4 linked regions of the Rhinolophus ferrumequinum genome follow. The protein of the gene in region 1 binds, or shares a complex with, the protein of each later gene. Links are inferred from orthologs where the notes say so. Each region holds a gene or a part of one and is shown in the gene's direction. Other genes may lie near its edges.

Region 1 (6,907 bases):
AAGTAACGCTGACAGTTGCGCAGGGAGGGTGTGCTAAGTGAGGAGGAAAAGGGGGATAAACCAGCTGGATGCTATAGACGAGCACTGTGCTATTAGAAAACTTTCTTCAGGTTATTAGCTAGTAGGCTGCTTAATTATACAACTGTACATCTTCCATTTCTCCATCTTATCTCAAAGGTTATTTTGAATGATGGACTGGCTATCCAAGGCCACGCTGAAGTCTAGTTCATCAATCAGTTCTTATAGAATCTACTCTCTTGATACTAGGAACATTTGCCTAACTCGAGCTTGCTCACAACATTCCCCCTTATACCTGATGCTTCAACAACAACAACCACGTTTTCAAATCATCATCTCTAAGTTATCTTCACATTCAAGATGTAATTTATCAAAACCATTAGACTTCAGAATTAATTTAACCGGCTAGAATGGTATTTTTCAAAGTGTGCTCTAAGGACCAGCTGCATCAGAATTACCTGGGGTGCTTATTAAAATGCAGATTCCCGGGCACCACCCCAGACAAACTGAATTAGCGTTGAGAGGGCTCAGGACTCTGCATTTAACAAACTCCCCAAGTGATTCTGCCACTTTAATGTTTGAGAATCCCTGAATTAGTTGTATTCTCACAGCATCCACACTCATAGGGAGCTTCAAGTCCCTAATCTTTAATCCCCGAGTCTGAGCTACATGACTCTTGTAGTCTGGCAAAGAGAGAGCAAGGGTTTGGAGTTAAGAGAACTGGAATCAAATGTGGTTCTACTACTTGCTATCTAGGTGAGTTTGGACAAGTTACGTAAGTTTTCCAGGCCTCAGTTTCTTTATTGATAACATGCAGATGTCTACTTCAAAAGGATGTTATTGCAATTAAACAGGAGAGTCAGAACAATCATAGAGGAAGCCTATCATTCTTTGGGTCATTTACTGAGGCCTACATACATACCAGTTATAACAAGATGAATAAAACATCATCAGGTGCTGTGCTGCATACCATGTATTCCAGCCTCACGGAAACATCCCCATCTCATTTATTTGTTATTTTTTGAACCTGTCCCTTTGTGGTTAAGGTATAAATTATGTTTTGAGGCTTTTCCAACCCTTGTGCTGCTTTCTGTTAACAGAGACCCACGAAATAATGTAGATTTCTCCATCTTGAACTGTCTTAAGCCTCCTTACCACTATTCATATGCCAAAGTCTTGAAACTCTAGCACGGCCTCAACCTGAACCTTCTTCTCCAGCCTCTCTCACCCATTACCCCTGAAGTATAGTCCCTAGGAGCAAACACTGGTTCTGCTGCTTATTAGTGAAGTTACTTAAACTCTCTGTGCCTTAGTTTCCTCATCTGTGAAATAAAGATACTAACAGTATCCATTTCATGCGGATTTGAGGACTATTAGATGATTATTTGGTAAGCACTCTGTGTTAGCTATTCTCATTGCCACACTGCAACCATACTAGAAGCTGCTTCCTCTCAGTTCTCTAAAGGGTCTAAGCTCCTTCTCATCTCAGGATTTACACTACTCACTCTGCCTCTTCTCATAGCCAACTTCTACTCATTCTTCAGGCTTAAATGTCATTCCTCTCTAGCAGCTTCCTGATCCACCCTGCCTCCACCACTTCTTAATAAAGTAGGTTAAGAGCCCCTGTTAAACACTCATTCACTCTGTATTTTTCCTTTGCAGCACTTATCATAACTTGATGTTTGTTTACTCCCTTAAAATAGGGAAGGTGTCAGTCTTACACTGCTCCGCATCCTCCCTGATAATTAGCACAATTCTGAGTCCATAGTAGCACTCATAAATATTTTAAGTATTTGATGAATGAATGATTTCTTAAATCTGACTATGCCCAATCTTTCTCTCTTGAGATTGTAACAAACTCTAAAAGTCAGTCACTTTTCTGCCCAGGGGCAGAAGAACTCTTTACTCCCTTCACCTTGTGCCATAAAATTTTCAGAAATACAAATCAAAAAATTAAGAAATGCTTAGCTTTTACCTGAATGAGACCCCCAGGTGCATGTGTCTTGGCTCCAAGTTACTTTAGATCTGTAATGTTCAATGTATTCGGTATCCCCTACCACATGGGGCCACTGAGGACTGAAATGGTGCTTGTCTAAAATAAGATGTGCTGCAATATAAAATACCTACTGGATTTTAAAGACATGATACAAAACAAAGAATGTTAAATGTCTTATAATTTTAAAATATTTACTACATGTTGAAATTGTAATATTTTGGAAATACGGGGTTAAATGAATGCATTACTAAAATCTTCACCTATTTCTTTTTATCTTTTTGAATGTGGCTACTAGAAAATTTACATATATGGCACACATTCAACTTCTATTGGGTAGTGCTGTTTTAGACTATCTGCCTATAAGGCATGTTTTATTTCCCCGCAAAATACCTGTATTTCCCCCATTTGAATCCATAGCAAAACATAACTCCAAATGGTTTTTTTCAATACTGATATTTCTGATGCATGGGCTATTCTACCATCCCTGTTTTAAATAAGGCATAGTTTCTTACTTTATCTTGGGCCTCGTCATATCAAATCCCAATGAACTGGAGGTTTACTATCCCACACTTACTTTCTTATTTACATTACAAACATTATGGTTAAGAACACAAGGTCTGGAGCCAGGCCTCCCCGTTTTGGAGTCCTGGCTCTACTACTTACTAGCTGTATCTTTATTGCTCTGAATCTCTGTGTGCCTCAGTTTCCACACCTGAAAAATGGGGATGATAATCGTGCCTACTTCATAGGGTTGAGCACATTAGTTGGTATTGGTGAAGTGCTTAGAATGGTACTTGGTACGCTGTAAGCATTCAATAAGTAATAACTACTAGTTGTGTCATTATATACATCCCTCACCCTTCCCACCTATTCACATATTCTCTTGTAATACTGGACACCTCTCCTAGTGATGTTGTTCCTTCCAAATCTCAGGGATATTATGCTCAGAACTTCCAACTCCAAAACTCTGCTACTCCCCAGCTGAGTAGCACTTAGGTAAGGTACTTAACCTCTTTCACTTTTCAGTTTCCTTATCTGTAAATGAGAAATGCTACTGCCACCTTCCTTGCACAAGTACGAATAACACAATGTATATGAAATTCCTTGCGTGGTCCTTAGCACCTGATGGATAAGTCACATGCGTTTTCTGGTTTAACACATGCGATCCTCACAACGCACCGTAAGACAGGTATTTTATGAAGAAGGAAACAGGATCTGGGAAGTCAAGGCTTGCCCAAGTTGCACAGATAGCTAAATAGCAGCGCCAATATTGGAACGAGGTTTCACTCTGGGTCAAAAATTTTTCAGGAAACCAAAGCTGCTTTCCCACAGCATGAGCGCTAGAACTAAATTAATTCATGCTGTTTATGGGATTACAATGTTTGGAGAAATGCAGAAACCGGCCAAGTATATATTGCCCTGTTGCCCGCTGAAACTGCAACAGAAAAATCAAAATACAGTTTTTGTTAATATCATTATTATTAGGTCAAAGAACCCGACAGCCCTAGAGTCGGCGACGTGGATGAAGTTTCAGTAAACAAAACAAAGCGACGAGTTTTTCCTCAAACCCCCCGAAGAAACTGCGGACCACGAGGAGGTTCAATTGTCGGGCCTTAGAAGCTGGGCCGGTCCCCGGCCCAGACGACACGTCCAGGTCGCCCCCAGACCCGGAGGAGGCCACGGCAGCGCGCGGCCGCCGTACCCTCCCCCTCGGATCTCGGGAACCAGCGCTGCGCCCGCCCGCCCCTCACCTCCGGCTCCGGGCGCTCCGAGGCCATCACACAGCCCTCCCGCGCCGGCCCAGGCCAGAGAAGATGTTCCACTCGTGACCCCTGACCCGGCTACCTCGCACCCCGCAGTAGCCGGAAGTGAACGGGCGGGCCGCGTTCTGAGCTCTCTGATTGGTGGACGAAGCCCTGTCAGAGTGACTCGCGACTTGGAAACCGGTAGAGGAGGTCGTTGCGGCCGCTACTGCTGCCGCTATGCAGGTGAGAGCCCGGTCGGGACTATGGATCGCCAGCTAACTTCGAGTAACGGGGCCGAGAGTGAGCCAGCCGAAGAGAGATGCAGTTGGGGCTGAGAGGAAGGGGCAGAGCCCGCGGCTGATGGATGGGGAAAGTGGGGTGAGGGACGAGGCCTACTGGACAGGGAGAGGCGGAGCTGAGAGATGGGGTGGGAGCCCCGCTGACAGGAGACAGAGACTGCGGCTAAGTCGAGAGGGAGAAGGCAGCACTGACTTGCTGGGGGGTGGGGAAGGATCAGGTTGTAATTGGGGAAGGTTGAGATTCAACCCAAGGAAGATAGCTTAAGAAAGTGGCCGGTTGGCTCAGGACCCGGCCTAGGCTGTTGGACGCTGCTGGATGCAGACATAAGAGGGCATCTGTAATTGGAGAGAAGCCCGAGGGGTGACGGAAATGTGGTGCCGCGGGGGCCAAAAGCCAAGTTAATGAATCTGAGGCCGTGGGTAGAATCCAGGATCAAGGCTCCTGCCCTACACATTGGCTGGCGTGTTTGCAAGACGCTTTCCCAGCCTGTGCCTGTAGTCAAGGGTGAAGAAATGAAGTAAAACTGGAGACCATAGATGGAAAGGAATTGCTTTGCAGACACCCCAGCATTTACAATTGTTTAGTGCTTAGGACGTATGCATTTTTTTGTCTGTCATTTGTCATTTAGTTTCTCACGCCTGGTAGTTGGTCAGTAAGTGTTTATAGGTTGACTAAGTTGGTGAAAGGGGCACAAGAATACTGGCACAGAGGTAAAGTGAGTGCAGATTAATTTCGCAAGGAGGAGGTTGAAACATCAAATGCTGAGGGCAAATGAAGAGTGAGAGAGAGAGAGAGAGAGAGAGAGAGTGTGTGTGTGTGTGTGTGGTGCAAGGCCCTATTCTGAGAAACTTTCATGTGTAGGTAGATTTCCCAGAGATTGTGTGCCATTGACAAGAACAGCCAGGCTCACAAGGCAGGTTCTAGGACAGAGGAGTACATATGCTGCAGAGGTACACAAAAGATAATAAACCCAGGTATTAGGTCTGGTGAAAATTTCTCAACGAGAGACAATAGAGTGTACCTAATCCAGAGAAAAGACAGGCATGGATTAGGACGTGATGAGAGAAAGAATCAGTTGGTAGGAGGAATTGAGGTCAGGTGAATGGGTTGAAAGGTCTAAAGGTTGATGCTCTCTGTAACCCAAATACCAAAGATAGAAAACGACGTGGCTCTCGTATGCCAGTGAGATCTTATGTCACTTGACTAGTGTTGCACACTGTCACCCTGGCTTTCCAGCCTTCTTCTGTATGTGTCATATTTACACCCATTTGGATAACCAACGTGTTCCTATTGGTGCAGAGAGAGGAGAAGCAGCTTGAGGCATCATTAGATGCACTGCTGAGTCAAGTAGCCGATCTAAAGAACTCACTGGGGAGTTTCATTTACAAGCTGGAGAACGAGTATGACCGGCTGACCTGGTAAGGGTTGCCAGGGCAATCTGGGGAGGACTCCATGGGTGGCAGGGCAGGCCTCCTGGTGGATGGGATATCTCCAATGATGTAACCATTTATCAATTTGCAAACATCTTTTGATTTGGAAAGAGCTGGCTTTCCCAACATTTAACAAATGAAGTTTAGCTTAGGGCCTCCATGGCAAGGAAGTAGAGAAATGCCCAGTTTCCCAACCTAGGTTCTTCCTAGCTTTTGATTCTCGCCCTTTGACTTCTCTGGGAAGAGGTCCTCCCTTAGTGTGTCCTCCCACTGCAGTAGGCATACAGTGGTCATACTGGATCTTCTACCACAGATGTTGCTGAGTCTTTTAGGTACAACCTATTCTGGAAGTATGGATCCTATTTCCAGGCCAGAAAGGAGGCTTTTACTCAGTTTCTGAATTTTCAGTGGTAACAGTGTAGCCATGGTTCCTATTTTACCACTGTTCCTCACCCCATTCAAATAATGAGCTGCCTTTTTTCTCCATCTGTGTCAGAAACTGAAAGCGTGTCCCTCTTTCCTAACCCCACAATCCCTGTAAGCCAGTCTGGTTCCCACCCAGTCCAGCCATGGGCTGTCTTTTTGGGGTAAGTCCAAGTATTCCTAATCTGAAAGACCCCCTTCGAGGCTACTTGGAACATTCTGACATCTTCTTACCACCACCAGGCCCTCTGTCCTGGACAGCTTTGCCTTGCTGTCTGGACAGTTGAACACTCTGAACAAGGTCTTGAAGCATGAAAAGACACCACTGTTCCGTAACCAGGTCATCATTCCACTGGTGTTGTCCCCAGACCGTGATGAAGATCTCATGGTAAGAGGAGGAGAAGGGTGCAACTTGGGAAATTAAATTCTTTGATGACCTAGAGCACAATTGTTGGTTGGTTATTCTGGAAGTTCTGAATGTGGTGTAGTGTGTGGCAATAAAAAGCGTGTGGCAATAAAAAGTGTCGGCTGAATTTTGGTCTCCTAGGAAGCTAAATATTGTAAGTCTTAAGCTGTGTTTTCCCTGAAAATGCACTGTTTGCCTGTGGCAAGAACTATATATCAGGCCAAACTGAATCTTCTTGGAGTGCATAGAAGGATCAATAAAATCTGTGTTTTACAGCGGCAGACTGAAGGACGAGTGCCTGTTTTCAGCCATGAGGTGGTCCCCGACCATCTGAGAACCAAGCCTGACCCTGAGGTTGAAGAGCAAGAGAAGCAACTGACAACAGATGCTGCCCGCATTGGTGCTGATGCAGCTCAGGTTGGACTGAGTCACTGTCCTGCTGCCCCCATTCCCCAAGTCCCATCATGAGAAGCTAGGCATTACCATTGCTGTCTGGTAGGGATGTATAGTTGTTACACGTAAGTTGCCCCTAGAAGAGCACAAGGAAAAAACTTCCCCGCATAATTTCTTGCTTGCCCTAATCTCTGAA
Region 2 (8,013 bases), on another chromosome or scaffold:
CTCCTTCCCCTCCCTGAATCTTCTCCTAGCTCAACCCAACTCATTGTCCTTTAAGATTGAGTTTTAACTGTCCCTCCAGGAAGTTTCTCTTGAGCCCCTCATGATAGATTAGGCTTCCTTACCATGTTTTACACACCTCTGTGGCCTTAAGCAAGTAGCTTTCTAAATCTCAGCATCCCAATCTAGAAAATTGGGATAATATAGTACATACCTCAGAAGCTTGTGACAAGGATGATAATTAATGCAAGATACTTAGCACAATGTCTGACATATTTAGTGTTACATATTAGGTATTAAATCATAGCAATTACTTAAGCCAATATTTTCATTATGCTTGAGAAAACAGATCCAGAGGAGTCAAATGACCAGCTCAAGTAGAATAAAATTAGGGAGAGGGGAGATCTGATTTGCTTAAGGTTTACAAACCAAATTTCAAAGTGAGGAAATTGGGGGGAATTGACTTCAGATTTAATATTAAAATAAAATATTTATCGAGAAATAAACTTGAGGTTGAGAATAGTTTCTATACTACCAAGAAAAATGGCAAGTCAGGGCAACTTACAAGTCAATCCAGGATGTTTGATGCTTAGACTGAAATGTTTTCTTAGCTTTCTCAACTTGCTAATTTACTTTGTTTACTTCTATATTCAACAAAGTAGTGTCTGTGCATTCACTAAATAAAATGGTTTGTAACTCCTCAGCCTTTTTTATTTATTTTTTATTAAGTAGAACATCAAACCATTAACATGACCTTAAGAAAATCAATATTGTCCCCAGGCTCAAGACCCCTCACTCCACAGCTTAATTGGTCCTTAGCTTTCAGCTTTTGCCTCTAGACTTGTATTAGCCAATACAGTTGCCACTGGCCACATGTGGCTCGTGGTTACTTGAAATGTAGCTAGTCTGAACTGAAATGTTCTATAAGTGAAAATACACACAAATTTTAAAGGTTTGGTTAAAAAAAGAAAAGCAAACTGTCTGAATTTTTTATATTGACTACAGATGAGATGATAATGTTTCTGTTACATTGAGATAAATATATAGTTAAATTTAATTTTAGCCTATTTCTTTTTATGTTTTTAAAATGTAGCTACTGAAAAATCTTTACTTACTTGTTTTGCTCTCATTATATTTCTACTGGACTGTGCTACTCTAGACCCTGGGATTTTTCAGGATCAGGTGGGAAGCATTAGACCTAAGATCAGACATTGCCCGTTCCTGGACTTTCTCTGTCTCAGATGATGTAACTCTGCCACCCTTTTTGGAAGCTAGATGCCTCCACTATCCCATTCAGAATGGAGCCCTTAAAAGGCTGAAAGAGTTAAAGAACAATTTTAAATGTAGATCAGTGAACAAATCCATATTTCAAAGAATCGAAGACAATAGGTGATTATTGACCAGGCAACACCTAAGATTCACTTTAACATTCCCAATTGGCTCTTCTACTTTACTTGAATTATCTCTTTTAATTGTTACAGCTCTAACATTTAGGTGCTGTTACATACACATTTTACAAAGGAGTAAATGGAAGTTAGAGAGCTGGCAGGCGTGGCCTGGCGTTTTGATCCCAGTGCCATATCTAGCAAGATTATAAGCTCCTTGTATATCCTGTGCTTTGTCCATTCATGATCTGACACATACTAGATGGTCAGTAAGTGTATAGTAAAATGTATATGTAATACAACTTCAACCATGTAGAAAATACACACACACACACACACGCACACACACACAGGGCTGGCAGGAAATATATCAAAATGTTAAAAGATGTTTAATTATGAATGGTGATGTTATAGGCATTTTTAGAGGGTAATATGCATTTTTATTTTTTATCTTTACACTTTTCTGTATGTTCCGAATTTTTGACAATGTGCATATACTGTTTTTATTTCCATTACTCTTTAAATCACACAAAATATCATTTAAAGAGAATGTAGGTGGTTACTGACATAAGGTGGTTTTTCTATGTGCTGATACTGCTCTCTTCTCTTGTCCCCATGATGTTTCCATTCCCCTCACAGTTGGTCCCTCTCCTCCACTTTGCTTCTCCATTTTCTCTCTCAACCTCTCCTGCTTTTTCACCTCTCTCTCTCTTTCTCCCTCTCTCTCTATTCTGCTCCTTTCCATGACCCTCTCTCAGACTTATTCCTCTGGATCTTCCTCCCTTCTTGTCTCTTTTCTCCTGTCGCCCCGCTTTTTCTGAGAAGATTGACATTCACGTGAAAGGTCAGTCAAATGTTCCTGTGCACGTAGTAGGTTTCAGGCAGATTGTACCTGCCTCTGGAGTCCGGAGGGAGATGCTCAAATTGGGTGATGGGAGGGCAAGACTTCTAAAGAGGATGGCTATGTTTTGGATAAAATAAGAGGTGGGGTAGGACACTGAAGAGTGACTAAAGCAGTGGGAACAAAGGTCTGAGTATTCTCTCAGGAAAAGAGATGAGCAGAGGCTCTTACCTTATTGGGTCTGGGGATTGCTGCCTCCTGGTGCTGGCACTCAGTTAGAAAGGATGTGGACCTTAGTTGATTTGAGCTCCTGGATTGAATTAGTCCTGGTTGTATAATTGACTTTGATATGTGGCCTTTAGATCTGAAATGGGTTTAATAAGATTTAACTGCTTCAAAGGGCTTTATAAGAATTCATTTTATCCTTTAAATCTGATTTCAAATGCTGCCTACTTCAAGATGCCTTCTCTGACTTTGGTGCTCCTCCTCCAGCGCTCCTATTGTGCCATAGTTGATACATACCTTATTCAAGCAATTACCTCCATTGTATTTTATCTTTTTCTGTGGGAAATAGTTCCTTTATTGCCTCTCTTCAGGACTCTTGAGGGACAGGCAGTTATCTTATTCGTATTTGTATCCCAGGCCTAGCAACACACTCAGTTATGCACACAAGTGCTCAATAATGATTTTAAAAAGTATGTTAATGGCTAACATTTAGTAAGCACTGTGGCAAGCTATACCTACACTGTTTCTTTCATGAGACACTTTAGGAGAAAAGTATTTTTATTATGCCCATTTTACAATGAGAAAACTGAGAGAGTAATTAATTTGATCTAAAGTCAAATTTGATCCAAGATCAACTAGTAGTAAGTAGCACAACTTTTTCTACAGGCACTTGGCTTCAAGATCTGTGCTCTTAACCACCGTAGACAAATGAATGGATGGATGAGAAATGCGCTTCATTCTGTGGCTGAAGAAGTCACGTGGAAGAGTCCACCATTTATTTTATAGAGGCAGTTATGATTTAAAATTATGATAAGTCCTGAATCACTGATGTTTTTAACTTTTGAATCACCTTTACTTCTCCCTCCCTCCTTCCTCCCTTTCTCCCTCCCTCTCTCCTTTCCTCCCTCCCTTCCTTCCTTCCTTCCTCCCTCCTCCCCCTCACCCCCTCCCTTGCTTTTTCTTTCTTTCTTTCCTCCCTAAAACTCTCAGGAAAAAATGTTTGAACTCCTACATTGAAATGCAATTCAGGCAAGAACTGAGTGTTTTATGGGGACGGAAACTAACATCTTACTTGGTTCTACTTCTTGCCATTCATTCACTTGCAAATTTACGAATATAAGGCACCTACTGTGTGCTAGGAACCTTTTGTAGACACTAGAGATAGAGCGGTAAACAAAACAAAGTCCCAGTTCTCACGGAGATTACACTCTAGTGGGCACTTTAAATAACGCTGGTTCACTTAGTCCTCACAATAACCACATGAGGTAACGATGACAACAATAATAGATAACTCTTAACAATGCTTATCTGTGCCGGGTACTGGGCTACCATGCTGTATTTGTCTTAACTCAATTATCACAACAATCCTGTGAGGTAGGGGGTATGTATGCTTTCCTCATTTCACAGATGAGGAAAGTGAGACATAAATCGGTAAGTGACTCCTTGAAGGTTCGAACCCAAGCGGTGTGTCTCTAACACCAGGCTATATTGTTTCGTTTGTTTCTTTCTTAATATCACAACTTTCAAGTGGCTGAGTCTTATCTCAGATCGTCTGACTCCCATGCCCAGGAGTTTGCGCTGCACCCCCGCGGCCTCGTGAAATACATGAGAAAACCTTGGAATTTTTTCAACACTTTCTCTTCCAAAGAATTCAAACTGCTTTCCACGTAATTCTCCGAGTTGTGATGTAAAGCTCTTGCACTGTCAATTCCGAGCAAGTAGAAAGACAGGGCCAGGGCCCTGGGTCATCCTACACTGGCCGGGGTACCCAGCAGATGGCGCTATCTTAGTAGCCACCACCTGGCTGCCCAGTCCCCCGGGCTCACCGCCTTCGCCGAAAGCTTCCCGGCCCTCCCTCGCTCCCTTCTCTCTCCTCCTCCCCACGGAGCCCGGGCCCACGTGACCTCAAGGCGGCCAATGGGCGAGCAGAGAGGGCGAGCTGGTCCCTGTGGCCGCCATTAAAGCGAAGGGAAAACCCGTGAATTCGGATTAAAGGGGGAAAAACACAGCCCGCTGGGCCCACAAAATGGGGGAGACTACGGCGTCCGGGCTGTGAGGCCGTAGGAGAGGAGACGTTAGGCCGGCTTGGCCCAGGGACTACACGAAGACACAGCCAGAGAATGGTTTGAGCCCGCAGACACCACCACCACCTCCGCCACTGAGGAGACTCTGGGCTTAAGGACATCGCCGCTGCCGGGCCGGGGGCCTGGGCTTCTCTCCGGTTCTCGCCCTTCCCGCCCCTCTGCGGGCGCCTCCCCGCCCGGGAGAACCCTCCAGGGCTTGGGCTCTGCCCTCTCGGACTCGACTTTAATTATTTATTGTGTAATTTATTATTTTTCTTGTGGAAGGGGCACACATCCCCTCTGTCCCCCAGACAGGGACGAGCGTCCGCGGGCTCCGCGGCGGCCGCAGTCCGGCCAGCGGGGTGAGCGCGGCACGGACCGCCCGCCTCCGGCCCTCGGCTCCGGGCGGCTGGGTGCCGGCCGGGCGGCGGGGGCTGCTCGCGGCGGCGGGGGGGTGGGTGGGGAGGGCGGGCGGCCCGGCGGCCTCCTCTTCCACGGTCCCCCCAACCAGCACCCCCCCGCCCTCCCCGGTGTCTGTGTTTCTCTCTCTGGTCGGAGGCGGCGGTAATGGCGGATGGTGGGTTGTGGCGCCGGCGGCGGCTGCTGTGAGGGACGATGAGTTCCTCCTTCGTGCCGAACGGGGCCAGCCTGGAAGATTGTCACTGTAACCTCTTCTGCCTGGTGAGTGCCGGGGCCGCGGGCGGGGACCGCGGCGAGCAGGGCGGTGGGGGAGGGGGCCGCGAGGTGCGCCCTTGGGCCGTGGGGGAGGGGTCCAGGTCTGATCCAGATGCTGGAGTCCCCGGGCTAGGCCCAGCCGGAGCCGGCGCTGCGACTGAGCTCCGCACCCGCCTCGGGAGACGCGTTCGTTCACCCGCGGTCCTGGGCTCTGTTTTAGGAGAGTTGGCTTTTTTTCTTGTTTCTGACTTTTTCCCCCTCACCACCGTGGTCTTGTTTTCAGCTTGGGCTCCTTATCTGGCAGGACACTAACATTTCCCTCTGTTTAACTGTTGCTTTTCTCATTGACCATGTATCCCTTCACACTTTACATTATTGCCCATTCTCCCACTGTTTTTATGCCTCACTCTGGTGATTTGTTTCCCCCAATAAACAGGACCCCGGAACTTAGGTACTAAAAATCTCTTTTCGTTTTGCATTTTTTGTATGAGTCGAACTAACAGAATGTTAGTTTCTTCCTTGGGCGACTACAGACCTCTGTAAAAACCAGTAGATGCCATTTCATACGTTTTCTCTTTAAACTTTGAAAACAGTTTGCCATTTTGACAATTTCTAGCCATCTTGCTTTTATTAAAACATTATGTTTGTGTGAGAGTTGAACGTACTAAGAGAGAAGGTTCTATGGTTTTGCAGTAAATATTTTTGTCTTTTGCTTGCATGTTTAGAATGTTTTGGGCAGCCTGCTCCAGGTTTTATTGAAAAGTGTGGGGAAGGTGACAATTGTGTAGGTTGGCCCATGTCTGGGAGCGTCCAACCGTTTAAGACTTTAAAAACAGTATCAGTTGTTGCAAATACTTAGCCCTCAATTGGACGGTAGCTTAGCTTCAGCAATGATTTAAAGTTTCAGTGACTTCCTTTTTTCATCTTCCCTGCGCTTTGAGAAATATTAAGAGTATACGATAAGGGAATTGAGTGGGCGGAGCAGAACTAGTTGGCAAGTGTAAACTGCCAGTCATGTATCAGCAGTTTCATTTCTGGCACCTATACTTTGCACCTTTAAGTTAAAGAATTACTGAATTCCCTCTTGAATTTCTTTCAGGATGTTAAGTTAAGATCTTTAATGTCCTTTCCCCTATAAAATGTTTTCTTGTCCAGTGTCCATTAATCAGCATCTCTTCAGATGTAATAAGACAGCAGGTTTTACATTTCTATCTTCTCCAACTCAGTCTATTTTTGGTGCTTTTAGGATCAGGTTCTTTGAAGATAGACTAGCACATATCTGACAGTTCTTTGTGAGCAGCTATTTGACTTTTCCTAAAAGGGATATGTGAAGAAGTAACAAGAATTTTTTGTTATAGTTCAGACTTCTATAAACATGGAATGATGATGAGTCTTTAAAAATTAATTTTCTGTTACAAGTTTGACATTAAGGACAAATGTGACCAGTTAGAACAGAACTTAGGATAGATAGGAAATGTTTACTCAGTGTGCAGTATTAAAGTACATATTTATATTTAACTTTATTACGTTTCTTTTATTTCTCCTTGGAACACCCATTAATTGACTTGCTATTCAGTGATCTGTCATTGTTAATTTTTTCACTGTTTTTGTTCAGAATTATTAAGCATTTTTTTGATCAACCTGCTTTCAATATTTTAAGTATATCTTGAAAAATTTTAATCCTTGTGAAATAAGGGACTTTTAATAGTGAGTACTTTTGACTTTGCAGTAATAAAAAAAAAAATCATGCTTTCTTTTCTTCAGGCTGACTTGACGGGAATTAAATGGAAAAGATATGTATGGCAAGGCCCAACTTCTGCCCCTATTCTGTTTCCGGTGACAGAGGAAGACCCCATTTTGAGCAGTTTTAGTCGCTGCCTTAAGGCAGATGTACTTGGTGTTTGGCGGAGAGATCAAAGACCTGGAAGAAGAGAATTATGGATATTTTGGTGGGGTGAAGACCCTAATTTTGCTGACCTTATTCACCATGACTTATCAGGTGAAAGCAACTTAACCATTTCTAGCTAATGAATAGCAATGTATCCTTTACTCCAAAATTGTCTTTATTAAGATTTTTTGGTGGAACACTTAGGTATGAAGCCAGATACAAATTCAGCTTCATAGTCTATTTCATTGTGGTTATTTTATTTTACTTAAATTATCCATATTATGGCAGGCTTTTTCAATCTTCAGTAACTTGATTCTTTCATCACCTAGCTTCCTCATGAATTTGTCATAGACAGGCCTAAGGAAGACATTATATTAACCTAAGAAAAATGGAATCAGGGAGCATAAAGTTCCTAACAAAGTTGTAATACTTTTGAAGCCAGTTTAACTAAACTTGGAGTCAGTTTTGCCACTGCTCTCCTGTATATACGAATATGAATATGCTGGCAGTTGTAGCAGTATCTAGAAATGTGTTGTAACTTTCCCACGTTTTTTCAAAGCATATGGTTATTTTGTTATTGTTATTTGTGGTTATTTTATTATCATGTGAAGACATGTTAATTTTGTTATTCTTGGGAAGTGATTCTTTTATTTTAGATACCTTCCAACGAAGACTATCATTAATATGAGAAGAGCGCCAACTTATTTAGCTTTTGTAGGACATTAGGGGGCATACTCGAAAAAGTTATACAGAAATAATTTTATTATGAGCAAATCAATAAGATTTCTTCCATCTTATTTTTTTGATTTAGGACCAAATGTTATTTTAGTATATGTGCTGCCGAAGTGAGCACCCAAATGTTATTTTAGAAAGAGAAACTGTAGCTCTTCATGAAATTACTGAAGCTTGTGTTTATTTTGGTGTAAGAGTCAGTGAGTC
Region 3 (6,913 bases), on another chromosome or scaffold:
TTGCTTTTGTTCCCATAGGCTTAGGATGGAGGGACTGGGCTGGGGGTGCAAGATGGGGAGCAGGGGAGAGGGAAAAGCCGGGCCTGCACGGAGGAGGTGCCAGGGGAGGACTGAGCTTCAGAGATCCTGAGGGCAGGTATGGACGCAGGGGACCAGGAAAGAGGTGCGACACTTGTTCAGGGCCCGTGTCCCCTTGGCCTCCAGCCTCTGTGTCAGTGTGCCCATCTAAACACGGGATGAAGGACACAAAGGATGAAACAGGGTGCAGAGGGAGGCCCTAACGTAGCAACTGCTCTTTGCGGGAGTCTGGCCCTGGGACCTGGGGCGGGGGAGGGGGTCACATCAGACAGACCCTAAGTGCCAGCTTGCAGTGACTTCTGGCAGGGAAGAGCCAGAACTCGGTGCCTCTGTGTGCCATGACTCTCACGTTCCTTTCATTCTTGCCCCACTTGTCCCCTCTTGCAGGTGCTGACCTGGAGGGCAAGAGGCAGATGAAAGTCAGCAATCGTCACCTGGACTTCCTGCCACCTGGGCTGCTACTGTCTGCTTACCTGGAGCAGCGCAGCTGATGGCGGCCCTGCCTGCCGGCTCCTCTCCCCCACCAAGACTTCCCATACCATCTGCTAAAATATGTTTGTTATTTTTAGAGTTTGTCCTTGAAGATGTGCTCACCCCCTTGGGGAAGCGGTCTCCTCACCCTGGCCCCAGCCCGGCTCAGCTCTCCCAGGTGAACAGCTGGCAGCTGGGGCTGCCCCAAACTATCCCAGGGCCCCGTAGCTCCCCACTCTGGGACTTGTATTTGGGTGGGGAGACCGGTCTGTTCACTTTGATGTTCCTTCTTGATTCAGTTTTTTGTGCCCAGTCTGAAGCTTAAGTGAGAAGTAGCTGGGTTTTTATCACTTAATTCGGTGTGATTTGTTGTAGATTTTTAAATTTCCCATTTGGGAAGAAAAACCAAATACTTGCCCCAACTGATACATTGGGGGGCTTTCTTCTAGTCCCTGCTTTACCCCCTCCCAGTTTTAGGCTAGGATGGGGAGGTCTCTGGGGTGCTGCCCAGAAGCAGTCCATCTTCTCTGTGTGTGTGTGTGTGTGTGTGTGTGTGTGTGTGTGTGAGAGAGAGAGAGAGAGAGAGAGAGAGAGAGAGAGAGAGAGAGAGAGAGAGTGTGTGTGTGTCTGGGTACGCGTGGGCATACCAGTGCTCGTGACCCTAGACAAGCTGTGGCTTAAAGGCTGGTTTTAACCCTCTTTGGAATGTGTGTCAACGGGTGCCTTTTTGTGGCTTTTGGGGCCCTGCCTGCTCTACCACTCCCCCCACCTCCAACGTTTCTCCCCTCCTTTCATACTGGAGGTCTGGGACTTCCAGCCAGAAGCTCCCTCCCTCGGACTGCCACTTTCCCCACTCCATGTCCCCATGTCCCCTCACCTTTCCCCTCCTTCAGCCTGGCTCTAGCCTATTGGTTTGGGGTTTTCTCTTGCTGGTCACCCTGTCCTGGTCCAGAGAAGCAGGGCTGGGGGACACCCCACTCCCGTGTATGTGGTTAGTTGCTCATTGAGGAAAGTGGAGAGTTCAATAAATTTCTGGTGCTCTGGTCTCCAGCTGTGGGGTTTTCTTTTGGGGCAGGGCTGGGGCCCAACAGGCCCTCATGATGCTCTTGCGCCCTGGTCGCTGAGGGCTGTGGGCCTGGGGGGAGTAGCTTCACGCTGAGTTGCAGCCAGAGTGTGAGGCAGGTGGCAGAGAGACTTCTGGGAGCATCTGGCCATTGGCTCTGCCGCCCTGGCCCCTCACTGGTGCTTAGGTTCAAACCCCAGGTCTGCCACTTCCCAGCTGTATGATCCCCGCCCCCCAGCTGCATGAACTCGTGGAAGGTTTCTGAAGCAGCAGGAAGAAATATCCCACACTGTGCTGAAAACCACAGGGATTTCTCGTCTCCCAGGTCTGGAAGCCAGAAGTCCAAACTCAAGGTGTGGCAGGGCTGCGCTCCCTCCGGAGGCTCAAGGGGAGGGTCCTTCCTGCTTCTCTCAGCTCCTCGGGACTCCAGTGTCGCTTGGTTTGTGGCTACATCCCTGTGGCCTGTGCCTCCGTGGTCGTCACGTGGCTTTCTCCCTGCGTCTCTTCACGTTGTCTTCCCTCTATGTATGTCTGAGACTGGCCGGGGGTCCTGCAGGACCTCCCCATCCGGGTTTTCTGCTGTTTCCCCCATGATTGCACTGAGGGAAGCGCCCTGCTCATCTGATCACATCAGGGTCCCTGCTGTCCCAATTGCTCCTCACGGCTGACTTTGACGCTGATCTCCTGGCCGGGGTGCTTTTCAGGCTTCTGCACTGGGAAGTTAAACCACGCCCCACCCAGCCCCACCTGCCCTCTCGGAATGAGTCGCCTTGAGCAGCCAACGCGGAGGGATGGGAGTTTCCTAGAGGGCGGAGAATCTACGTTAATTCGATAGAAATTTTGCAAGGTAGGGCTGTGGATCTGGAGGAAGAGTTTCTATGGCTGTGGATATGGGGGAGGAGCTTCGCGTTGAGTGACAGCCGGAGAGTGAGGCAGGTGGAGAGACTGGAAGTGTCTGGCGGTTGGCTCGGCCGCCCTGGCCCCTCCCTGGTTCCTCGTTCAAACCTCAGCTCCGCCACGTCTCCCCGGCGCGGTGCCTGTATTTATTCAATCATTTATGTCTTTGTGGAGGGGTGGGTATTTACTTCCTACTACTTTGGGTTATAATCCAGTATGACTTCATTTTGTTGCAGAAATGACTCCAGGATTGGCCCCTGGGAGCTCTCCTGGAGGGCTCCCATGTCTCTTTGAGGCATCCCCATCATTGTGGGGTAATTTTCTGAGCACGGTCCTGACTTCCTGCCGCTACAAGATGCTCCTGCTCGGCTGGTGTATTTCTCTCAGGTGCCTGGTTCCTTTTATCCGGGCACTGTTTTGGAAACCAGTGGGCGCTGGGTGCACTGTATTCCATTTTAATATGCATTTAAATAATTTTAAAGATAGACGCTGAATAATGGAAATCCAAATGGCTAGTACGGAGGACAAAAGGAGATATTTGAGTCGCCAGCTCGGAGCCTCCCATCTGCGAAGGGGACCGAGTCCCCAGGTTCCCAGAGGACAGGATTCGGCCTCGGGCATGGGGCTCTGGGGGCCCACACAGGCCTCTCCCACTGCCACGCGGGTTCGAGTCTTGTCCTCGACATATGCTGGCTGTGTCAAGTTCTTCCAGCCGGGGTTCCCAGGCTGCCGGGTTCCCAGGCTGCCGGGTTCCCAGGGCCTCCAGGCCTTTGTCCAGGAGGTGCCTTACGCCCGGTGCACCCTTCCGTGCAATCCCCGGGGGTTCTTCCTGGGGAAGACCCTTCAAACTGGGGAAAGTCTGGCAGGAACAGAAGCAGCTTTTGGAGGAGGAATTGAGGATGGGGTTTGAATCCAGAAGAGCCCTCAATTGGATAAGGTACCTGGGCTTATCAGCGCCTCAGTTTCCCCACCTATAAACATTATACAGAAGTAGAGAACAAACAGAACTAGCTTTTAGAGGACTTAGTGATGGGGTTTGAGACCGGAAGCAACTTCGATTGGGTAAACCACTTCCTTTATTTTGTCGCAGTTCCTGATACCAGGAAAGAGAAAAATATGGAACGCTTCACGAATTTGCGTGTCATCCTTGCGCAGGGGCCATGCTAATCTTCTCTGTATCGTTCCAATTTTAGTATATGTGCTGCCGAAGCGAGCACAGTTCGACTTGTGACCCGAGAACTATTTAAAGGGTAAAGATAAAATTTCTTTACACTAACGGTGAACCTCGTTACAAAAGTTTAGCAACAAATTCTTATATGATGTTAGGGTAACATATAGCGGAACCAAATGCGGTCATTTACTGGAGTTGAAAAAGTGTTTCTTTTTCTACCAAATAAAACTCAGGTGGCTGCTGGGAATTATTAATGCCTATATTCAAACGACCCGGAAGTGGGGCGGAGCCGGAGCCGCCGCCGTCCCAGAAGTCTCCGGGAAGCTGTCGCGCTGCGCGGTCGAGTTGTTGGTCGTGGGGAAAGAGAGTGGCGCTGGAACCGGGGAGTTAGGACGAGTGCTGTATGCGGCCGTGGTGTACGGGCCCGTCCGGTGAGCGCGGGACTACGACGGCCCGGAGGGTCAGCCGGCCTCCTGACGGCCCAGGGCAGCGCGGCCCGGAGAAGGCGGGGACTCCTGGGCCCTGGGCGGGGTCTGTGGGGTCAGAGGGCGGGTCTGGAGAGCAAAGGGTTCTGGGTACGTGGCCTGGGCCGCGCTAGGCTTGGTCTGGGGTTTTTGGCGGCAACTCGGGGTCCGGAGCTGGGGGAAATTGGGGCGGGGTCTAGGGATTGTTTGTCCCTGAGGAGGGTCCTCGGACGAATGGAGGGGAGGCTTGAGGGTCTGGGAGACTGGGGGGCGGGACCTAAAGATTGCGCGGGGCCCCTGTGATGGAGTCTGGGTACCGAGGGAGAATTGGAGGTGGGGTCCTGGAAGCCAGGTATCTGGGGGGTGGGGTTTGGAAAGCAAAGGTTGTTGGGGGCGTGGCTGGAGGTCTTTGGGGACTGAGCTGGGGGATTGGTTGGGGTCTCTGGAGCGGAGCCTGAGAGTTTAGGCTGGGCCTGGGAGCTCAAGGAACAAATTGGGAGCGGGGTTTGGAAAGCAAAGATTGAAGGGGATGGGGATGGAAGGCTTTGGGAGCGGAACTTAAAGTGTTGAAGGGGCTTGTGGCGCGGCTTTGTTGTTCTGGAGCAGGGCCTGGAGAATTGGGGACGTGGGGGTTGATCGTATTAACAATCTGACTGGGCTTTTGTGATGGTGAAAGGAAATAACCTATAATTGATGCCGGGCACATAGCTCTGAGGAAACGTTCGCCTCTATTGTTAGCGCTCCACTCAGCACGTCCCACACTAAGACCAAACTGCTGACTCCCCGCCAACCCGGCCAAAGGCAGCCCCACCAGTGCCCTGCCTTCCGAGTAAACCCAGGATCCGACCTCTTCTTACAGTTGCCACTGCCGTCCACCTTGTTACTGGCCTGGACCAGTGCAGTTACTTCCACCCCATCTCCTAAGCTGTACCCTGCAGAGAGCCAGAGGGGTCCTGTTGAAACATAAATAGGTCACAGCCCTCCTGGGGCTCCCACCTCACTCTGGGTGAAAGTTCACCGTCACCCCCACCCTCAGCTCAGCTGCGTGGCCACTTCTTCAGTACCCTAGACTCAGTCCAGCCTCTGTACCTTTGCGGTGGCTGTACCCTCTGCTAGGAATGCTCTTCCCCAGACATCTCCATGCCTCAGACCTCCCTCACACCCATGCTCATATGTTGTCTCCCTGGTGTGGCCTCCTTGACCCTCCATGTTTAAAATGCAGCTCTCCCCACCCCATCCCCAAAACCCAAGGTCAGGGATTGGGCCCTTTTCATTCTCTGGCGACCCAGCATCCAGCATAACTTTTAGTGCCCTACAGGTGCTCAGTGAATGCTACGATGAGCTAGTCCTCTCTGTCACTCCCTCAGGTGGTCATTCCCTCCCTCAGGTGACTGGTGTGTGACCTGTGACAGATGGATCTGGCTTATGTCTGCGAGTGGGAGAAATGGCCCAAGAGCACCCACTGCCCATCAGTGCCCCTGGCGTGCGCCTGGTCCTGCCGCAACCTCATCGCCTTCACCACAGACCTCCGGAACGACGACCAGGGTGTGTCCCCTCACCTCCAGCCCAGCTCCCTGTCCTTCCTCTCCCCACACAGGCTCCCACAGTACCTGGAACACTGCTATTGGGCAACTCCAAGTCTCCAGGCCTGCCTGGGAGCTATCTTCCACCCATCCAGGCCCTCTTAGGGCTTCCTCACTTGTAACTGGGGGAGGTGAGGGTCTCATCCTCACAGGAGTGCAAAGGGCAGGTGCATTGAACTGCTGCCTGCTGTCCTCGGTGAACCTCGCATTGAAGTGCTGGCTACTGTGGGGATGCTCTCCTACCCCTGTGTGATAGGAGGGGCTGAGGGTGGGCAGCCCACTCCGGTTTGTTGGAGACTAGTGCCTCAGTTTCCGGGCCGTACATGTCACTGTTTGGCTTTTGAAAGCCTCTAAGGTGCACGGATGCTGGGCTGTCTTCTCTCCATCATCCGAGTAATGTGCACTCATTACAGAAAATTTAAAAAGCGCAGGAACTGAGGAAAAAGAACCACCTGTCACCTTCCATGTCAGCATGTATGGGGTCATTTTCTTCCCTTTCTGTTTTCTGGGTCTCTTAACAATGTGGTTGTAGACACACTGGTGGCAGACTCCCGGGCCTGCTCTGTTCTCCCTTGGGGACACGGCCTGTTCCTCGTTACTGCCTGGGCCGTCGATCTGGTCAGCAGCACCTCCATGACTCCCCTGTGGGTGGGACATTCTCTGGCTTCCTCCCTGAGTCCCCCTGGGGTCATTGGTTGCCTCAGGGCCATGTCATTGTCACCTTGCTGACCATGCCCTGTCCCCCACCCCGGCAGACCTGACCCGACTGATCCACATCCTGGACACGGAGCATCCCTGGGATGTGCACTCTATCAACTCAGGGCACAGCGAGGCCATCACCTGCCTTGAGTGGGACCAGTCAGGTGAGGGCAGAGCCGAGGGTGTTCCTGCATGGCGGAGGGAGACCACGGTGGTGCTCACCCTTGACTCTGAATCCCAGGGTCACATGCTCTGTCTTTTCCTGGTTATGTCCCCAGAGTCCAGAGCTGGAACTCGAACCTTTGACCTGTGGCTTTGCAGCTGCTGCTGTTCCTGTTCCCCATGTCCAGAGCCATTTCCTCAGCATACCTTGTGCCACTCCCCTGGGCTGCTTTCTCCCAGGCCCTTAACATACTGCGGTGATTATCCCTTCCCGCAGTGGGGGTTTGTGATGCAGGTTTGCCCCCCACAGGCTCCCGGCTACTGT
Region 4 (7,604 bases), on another chromosome or scaffold:
CCCTAACCCCAGACACCCCACCCCTGGGCCAAAGTCCACACGCTCAGGAGTTTGACCACAGGAGCTTAAATGCTGACATGCCTTGGAGCCAGCATTTATTATAGATGGGACTAAATTAGTGGTTCTAACTGGGGGTGAATTTGTCCCCTAAGGGACGTTTGGCAATGCTGGGAGACACTTTTGGTTAGCACAACTGGGGGAAAGGTCACTATTGCTATCTGGTGGGTAGTGGTCAGAGATGCTGCTAAACATCCTCCACTGCACAGGACAGCCTCCACACAAAAGAAGACTTATCCAGCCCCACATACCAACAGTGCCAAGGCTGTCAGACCCTGGATAAAACGGAGCTGAGGGTACGCAAGACATCTGGCCAAGGAAACCGAGCTGACCACTACGAACGCTGAGCGCACCAACACCAAATGCAAAAGGATGGCTCTCCCCAGACATGGAAAAGCCCAGCAGCAGTTTCCCCAGGTAATCAGGGTAGGTCTAGGACAGGTGGACAGAGGGGGAGGCGGTACTTTGTCTGGGTCATTCTCACTCAGAATGGTCCTCGGAGGATGGGCCAATTTGGTTACGGTGGTTCCCCCACAACTTCCCCGTGGGAAGCTGCCCCCAGGACCTATCACCCCCAATGCCAGGCCACGTCAGCCCTACCTGACAGGAGGGTTCTTATTCATGAACATCTCAATGGCACGCTCGTCCTCAGGGTCCACGGCCACCTCTGCGTGGTGGTCCGCCCCTGTCATTGTGGCAGCCTTCTCCAGCGTGGGCCATTCCTCATCCTCGTCATCTGAGCCATCCTGCGGCACGCCTGGACCTACAAGAGGGGAGATGAAGTGTGTGAGCAAGGTAAGCAGTGGGTGAGGGATTCAGAGCTCAATTTAAGTTTAACCATCAGGTAGAGTATAGCCTCACGTGTGCTTGTAATAGACACAGATGTGTGCAGTAAAACATGATGCACACACTACCTTCCGACACCCCTTTACCCCCCGCCCCCCCGGGGCTTACAACCTTGCTTGAGACACAAAATGTACACATAGGAACCAATAAGATAGCGCTGCCAGCAAGTAACAGTTAACACACTATACTCAGCCAGGTAGCAGGAACTGTTCTAAATACTGCCGGTAACTCGCACAACCCTGAGAACTAGGTACTATCATTATTATACCCAGTTTCAGATGGGACACTGAAACACAGAAAAGTTACTTAATTTGCCGAAGGCGGGAAATCTGCGTCTAGACTGTGCATGCTTTACCTCTATTCTACACACGTGGTGGAGCTTGATTATATATCAAATGAATGGTAGAGACAGTATATACCATAGGCATTTAGATGACGAGTGCAGAGGACGGTGAGGCTCCGGGCAGGGGAGCAGGTGGAGCGCATTCCAAACCCGGGAAACACTGGCAAAAAGGCTTGCCGGTGTTAGGCGGTAGCTAGGAATAAGCCTAGCAATACGGGAATGTGAGGGCAGACCGCGGAGGGCTTTGAGGCCAGGCAGTGGAGTTAAGAGTCCAATGGACCAATAAATGATTATAGTGGGAGGCTCGACAGCCGGCTGAGTGTCTCGTAAGGGATGTAATACTCCACACAGTGAGGTGCAAGGCTGCACATGAACAGGTCATTAAGAACAGAGGGAGTGTGTCACAGAAGTTAAATGCAGGGGTGTGTGTGTGTGTGGGGGGGGACAGTTTGTCTCCACATGCTAACAACTCCCAAATCTGTACTTGTAGGTAGATATTTCGCTCCTGACCCTAACTCCAGCTGCCACCCGTATAGCCACTCATGGATGATCCACAGGCATCTCAAACTTCACCTGTCATCAACCCGAGAAGTCACTCTTTTCCTCCGAGGTCCATTCTACTGTGTTCCACATCCAACTACACAGCACCACCATCCACCCAGTGCTAAGCCAGTACCTGGGAGGAAGGCGAGCTGCATCCCCTCCTCACCCCCAACACCCAATCAGTTACCAAATTCTATTCCGTTCTACGTCATGGAGTAGGTGTCAAATTCTTCACAGCCCTGCCTAAGCCTAGATCAGCATCATCTCTTGCCTGGATTAATGTAACAATCCCCTAACTGGTCTCCAAATTCTCCAATAGTTTCCCAATGTCTTTCTGATAGCTTTCAATCCGGGCACAGCCTTCAAGTCTTTTGCAGACTTGGCTCCTACCCACCTCACCATCATTCATTCATCCGTTCATTCAGCCAACACTGAGTGCCTACCACGTGTGAGACACTGTTCTGGGGGCTGGAAACATAAGAGTGAACAAGACAGACAAAACTTTTTGCCCTGATAGAGCTTCTATTCTACGGGGGAGAGACAATAAATCAATATAACATATTAGGTGAAAAGACAAGTGCTAAGAAGAAAGAAACAGGGTGTAGAAGTTGGGAGTGTGGAGACAAGGGTGGGTCACAATTATTAATAGAGTAGTCAGGACAGGATTCTCAGAGAAGGTGAGGAACCGAGGGAGTAAGCCTGTAGGTGTACGAGGACAGGAACAGCCAAGGCAAAGGCCCTCACTGGCCATGTTTAAGAATAATGAAGCCTACACGCTGGAAATGAAGAGGGCAAAGGGGGAAAGCAGAAGAGGTTAGACTGGCAACAGCAGCAGATCTAGGACTTTTGAGTCCCTTGTAATCTTCTAGCTGTTGACTTATGAATGGACTGTAGGGGGTATGGGATATTAATGAGGAGGGTACTGTAATCATCCAGGGGACAGATGGTGGTGGCTTGAACAGGATGGTTTTCCAGGGTGCTGAGAAGTGGTCTGACATTAACTGAAGGTAGAGTCAACAGGATTTCCTTACAGATCAGATGTGACGTGAGAAAGTCTGAGGTTTCAGTCTTCAGCAAACGGAAGGATATCATACTGTTAGCTGAAATTAGGAAAATGTGGGAGGAGTAGGTTTGGCGAGAAGGTTTATTTTGAACATGTTAAATTTGAGATAGATTTCAAACTGGAGATGCCAAATAGGCAGCTGAAATACAAGAATTTGGGGTTCGTGGAAGAAATCAGGGCTAGAATATAAAGAAGGGAGCAGTCACCAAATAGATGGTATTTAAACGATGAAATGGATGACAGCACCAGAGAAGTAAGTGAAGAGAAGAGATCCAAAGACTGAACCTTGTGGCACTTCAGTAAGAGGTTGGGGACAAAAGAGGAACCGGCAAAAGATACTGAGAGGTAAGAAAGTAGTAACACAAGAATGTGATGTCTTGGAAGCCAAGTAAAGATACTGTAGCCAGGAGACCAATGTTCAATTGTGTCAGGACAAACTAAAGATGAGATCTGAAGAATGGATTAAGCAACTTGGGGGGTCAACACTCCCACCCTAACAAGAAAATGCTGACCATCTTTTACTTACTCTCTCTCCCTCTTTAGCCCCTAAACCACATTGCACTTTCTGCTCAGAGCAGGCAGGCCCCACTCACTTTTTTAGGTCTCAGCAAAAGGTCATGCAATCTGGGAAGTCTGACTCACCAAGACCACTGTTATCAGAGAAACTATACTTTATCATGGAATGTATTATTCTAACTTGCCTATCGGATTGTCTCTCTCCTAGACTATCTGCAAGTCAGGCACATGTCTAGCCTGTTTATTTCTTTACCCAAACCATCTAAACTAACACAGTGCGAATGAAGCGTAGTGGTAGACATCCCCTAAGTATGTATAGAACAAACGGATAAATACTAGAACTTGGTGGTGCGAGCAATCACTTCCTGTTGGACTAACTTCAAGGGGTGCCTAGAAGAGGGCTTAAAACTAGGAGTGGGCGTGGAGGGTGCTGACCACCCTAAATCCGCTCCAGGACTGGGTCTCTCATTCCATTACTTTTGCTAGCGTGTGCTACGGACCTCCCCTTTTTTTTATTCCAAGCTATTCCCCCTGCCCCACACCCGTCCACCCGCACCTAACCGCTCTCTTCCTCGCACCCACCCCCCGCCACTCACCCAGCCGTGTGATGCGCTCCCTGGGCGCCGCGGGCATGCCCCCAGTCCCATGCTCGGCCTCGAGTTCCTCCTGTTGCTGCCGTGCTTGCTGCAAAATCCGTCGGGTCAGCCGGGGCCCCACATACTCTTCCTCTTCGGTCCCGCGACCCCGCCGCTTCTCCCGGGCCCCTGCCCGCACCACGTCCCCAGCCAGAATCTGCTCGGCCAGCGGCGCGTGTTTTTCCTGACCTCCGGCCCCGCGGGCCGCCTTGAATTTGGGCATTTTTCTCCAAGAAGTTGCGGGGAAGGTTCACACGTGGAGACGGAAAATAAGTCCTGAATGCGCTTGCGCAGTGAACTCCCAGCGCCCAAGAGGCCACACGGAGGTCACAGCGCCCCCTATCGTCCGGAGGCCAGGAGTGCCGTCAGCGCCGTCCCGCCCGCTAAGAGCTCACAGGTCCTGGAGCTGGACTCCCAAATACACTTATTGCATTTAACGTTGGCTTCTCTAAGCTTTGTGGATATAGGCCCAGAGAGCTGCAAGCCTGGGTACTACATTCGGGCAGAGATGCCACTGGAGGCGTCACCGAAGCGCCTAGACACGCCCCTATTCTCGTGGAGCGACGACTAGGCGCTCTGTTTTTACGTCACTTCCGGAACCCCTTCCTCCCGCGACGCTTGCATCGGAGGAGTCTTCCCCAATGTGAGCGTTCGGAGGGCTCCGCGTTCCCACTGCTGCGTCCTGCCACCCTCCTGACCTTACACCATGGGAGTGACTTGGTAATACTGCGGGGGATTTTGTGGGGCGGGACTTGGGGTCGTGAAGGGCCCTCGGAGCCTGGAGGGTACCCGGGAGGAGGGTCGGGAGCAGGGTCGGCCGTCCCTAGGAGCTGAGCAAGATGTCCTCGGATTGTGTGGGTGAGGGAGACACCCTGAGGGCTGCGGATTCTCGGGCCTTGTTCCTTGGAGATACGCCAGCCTTCCTCCTGGGTCCCCCCCGCGACCAGGAACCTATCAGTGTTTGGGTACCTCCTTCGTATTTTTATTATTTTTTTTTTGGTACCTCTTCTTGCCGGTGAGGCCATAGTACTGCCCAGGGTGGAACTTTAGGGTCGGAAATAGGATGTGCGAATTAGGACCTATTTGTATGCAGGGCTGGAGCGGGTGTAGAATAGGCAACCAGGAGACTATCGTTTTTAGGCTTTCGCCTGCCCCTTCCTACAGCCACTAAATGCAGTTAGACGAGCCTGTCTGGTTCTAGTCTGGTTCTAGTTTGGCCATTGTAAGACCTTGGGTCTAGAGAGGAAAAAAAGAAGCTATTGGGAATTAGGGTGTTGGGGTCCAGGCATTACACTATGTGTAATTAGATGGTTGGCCTAATTTTTATGGAGTTTTCTTCTCACTAACGTTATAAGTCAGAGTGGCAAGGAAAGGTATGGGCCTAGTGCTCTTGGAGGTATTAGTTACAAAATGCTAAATTCAGGGCGTTTTTTTTCTTTTTTCTTTAATGGGTAAGTGTGAGCATTTCCAGTCACAGAGGGCTGGAGGCCAGGATGTCTGAAGTCCGCGGGAACAACTCCTGGTAGCCCAGGTTCTCGCAGGTTTGTCAGTGATTGCACTTTTGTTTCTACAGTTGACATCCCGAGCCTTCCTTAAGTTTTCTAGTGTGAAGGAAATGTGTGAGGGATGGGAATGAAAAGTTTGCAGCACAGAGGCTGGGAACCCTGGAAGCCCGTTTTGTCCGTAGAGAAGGCAGACAGAAGGAAGGGCCTCTCTGTGGGGACCCTTATCAACTTTTTCAGGCTCTTGGGACTTCTCACCCTAGAGCATCAGTTTAGGGGTTCTCTTATATTTCAAAATAAGGCACATCATCATCATTACTTACCGTGCTTTTTCTGGTGGAGAGTAGTAACACTTTTTAGCAACTGTAGGACTCTATCTTGATAGCTTCATTTAGTTGATTGATTATAATAAAGTAATGCAGTCTCCCAAAAGTCAGTCACGTATGACTGTCTTTATGATTTTTATATAGCTAAGTACCATCTGTACTCTTACTTGTTCATGTTTTCATTGAAATCTATTTCTTTTCCTTAACAGTATTTTAACAGGCACCTAGATCCCTAGGGAAGTGGTCTAGTGTGCTGGTTAAGACCACAGACATGGAGCCAGCTCTTCTGGCGTTGAATCTTGGCTGCACCACACCACGGTGTGAGACCTTGTTGTGCAAGTTGGTCATGCCCTCTGTACTTCAGTTTCTTTGTTTTAACACGGAGATAAATTATAGGACATCTTCTAGGGCTGTTGTGAGGATTCAGAATAATTAATTCATCTCAAGGCCGTTGGGCACTGTCTGGCACATAGTTGGGGCTTGGTAACCTCCCTCTCTGAGGAGGAAGCCAGTTTCACTCACCAGAGAAGGAAATCTTGGAAATAACATTTTTTGCTTTCTTGTCTTGATTAAATTCTTGTACGTGTTATTGCCTCTCCCAAAGTTTATACACTTGAGGCTTTGTCTTAGATCCTAGGGCTGTCAAATACAATTTTTTGCATTGGTGGAAGTGTTCTGTCAGCACTAATACAGTTGCCCCCAGCCACGTGTGGCTATGGAAATGCGGGTAGTGCAGCTGAGCAGTTGAATTTGTAATTTAATTTGTTCTGTTAGTTTAAATGGCTACATGTGGCTTGTAGCTGCTGTATTGGACAGTGAACGTTCAAAGTGTTAGAAAGTTGGGAAAAACATATGAACCCCCCATTGAGACTTTGTTCTTGATACAGTCAGAACTTAAAGACTTGCAAGGAAATCCTTTCTCGTTCTACGACTCACTGTTAACGAATGCTCAGTTTGTGTGCCCTACAATCTTCTCTTGAATGTTGGCACACATGCCATGCTCAGGAACTTCTGCGGTGATAGGTAGGAAGTTCACTGCACTGGTGACCTGAGACCTGTGCTCTGGTTCTCAGGGACTGTGGTCCCCTGTCGCCTCCTCTTTAAAACGAGAGGGTCCTGGTAAGTGGTCTCTAAGGTAACTTCTGGCCCTGAGGGGCTGTGAATCTGTGGGTGATCACATGACCCAGCAAGTGCCCGTGTGTCTCTGGGTACTGATGCTTCGGTCCTCTCCCTTCCAGTGTGTCCCAGATGCCTGTGGCTGAGGGCAAGAGTGTCCAGCAGACCGTGGAGCTCCTCACCCGGAAATTGGAGATGCTGGGGGCAGAGAAGCAAGGAACGTTTTGTGTGGACTGTGAGACCTACCACACGGCCGCCTCAACCCTGGGCAGCCAAGGTCAGTGAGATGGGTCTGCAAGATGGCTGGAACCTGGCTTGGAGCTGATAGGCCTTTGTGTTCATTGGAATCTTTCTACTCTTCTCCAAGGGTGTTTTTTTTTTTCTTTTCTTTTCTTTTTTTTTTTAAAGGAGGGCGCAGCTCAAAGTGGCCTATGTGGCAACTTGATGTTATCGGCACCACGCTCTAACCAGCTGAGCTAACGGGCCACCCCAAGAGTGGTGTTCTTGAACAGGTGGCAGATATGTTTCTGAATTCATTAATTCTTGGTCACTTAGCTCTTAGACGGGGCCTATGTTTTAAGTCTTTTTGCACTTTTAAAGCAATGTTTTTCAGAGAGTTGGTCACTAACTACATCAGAATCATCTGGGTTACTTGTT

The links.
Region 2: MED8 (region 1) and MED13 share a complex: the UniProt entries of both Homo sapiens proteins name them as parts of the mediator complex. The link is inferred for Rhinolophus ferrumequinum from reciprocal best matches to the Homo sapiens genes MED8 and MED13.
Region 3: MED8 (region 1) and MED16 share a complex: the UniProt entries of both Homo sapiens proteins name them as parts of the mediator complex. The link is inferred for Rhinolophus ferrumequinum from reciprocal best matches to the Homo sapiens genes MED8 and MED16.
Region 4: MED8 (region 1) and MED20 share a complex: the UniProt entries of both Homo sapiens proteins name them as parts of the mediator complex. The link is inferred for Rhinolophus ferrumequinum from reciprocal best matches to the Homo sapiens genes MED8 and MED20.

The regions. Positions count from the first base shown.
Region 1 is NC_046292.1:30,617,889-30,624,795, reverse strand, and holds the start of MED8 (mediator of RNA polymerase II transcription subunit 8), read left to right. Parts: upstream 1-3,901; 5' UTR 3,902-3,996; coding exon 3,997-4,002; intron 4,003-5,358; coding exon 5,359-5,477; intron 5,478-6,155; coding exon 6,156-6,300; intron 6,301-6,594; coding exon 6,595-6,735; intron 6,736-6,907. Other genes in the region: KICSTOR complex protein SZT2, read right to left, coding at 3,766-3,792. UniProt on the Homo sapiens protein: Component of the Mediator complex, a coactivator involved in the regulated transcription of nearly all RNA polymerase II-dependent genes.
Region 2 is NC_046304.1:26,085,455-26,093,467, reverse strand, and holds the start of MED13 (mediator of RNA polymerase II transcription subunit 13), read left to right. Parts: upstream 1-5,001; 5' UTR 5,002-5,126; coding exon 5,127-5,192; intron 5,193-6,950; coding exon 6,951-7,185; intron 7,186-8,013. UniProt on the Homo sapiens protein: Component of the Mediator complex, a coactivator involved in the regulated transcription of nearly all RNA polymerase II-dependent genes.
Region 3 is NC_046301.1:62,029,946-62,036,858, forward strand, and holds the start of MED16 (mediator of RNA polymerase II transcription subunit 16), read left to right. Parts: upstream 1-3,913; 5' UTR 3,914-4,111; intron 4,112-5,531; 5' UTR 5,532-5,556; coding exon 5,557-5,689; intron 5,690-6,482; coding exon 6,483-6,590; intron 6,591-6,898; coding exon 6,899-6,913. Other genes in the region: R3HDM4 (R3H domain-containing protein 4), read left to right, coding at 466-569. UniProt on the Homo sapiens protein: Component of the Mediator complex, a coactivator involved in the regulated transcription of nearly all RNA polymerase II-dependent genes.
Region 4 is NC_046286.1:11,620,462-11,628,065, reverse strand, and holds the start of MED20 (mediator of RNA polymerase II transcription subunit 20), read left to right. Parts: upstream 1-4,604; 5' UTR 4,605-4,709; coding exon 4,710-4,723; intron 4,724-7,069; coding exon 7,070-7,224; intron 7,225-7,604. Other genes in the region: BYSL (bystin), read right to left, coding at 658-820, 3,965-4,226. UniProt on the Homo sapiens protein: Component of the Mediator complex, a coactivator involved in the regulated transcription of nearly all RNA polymerase II-dependent genes.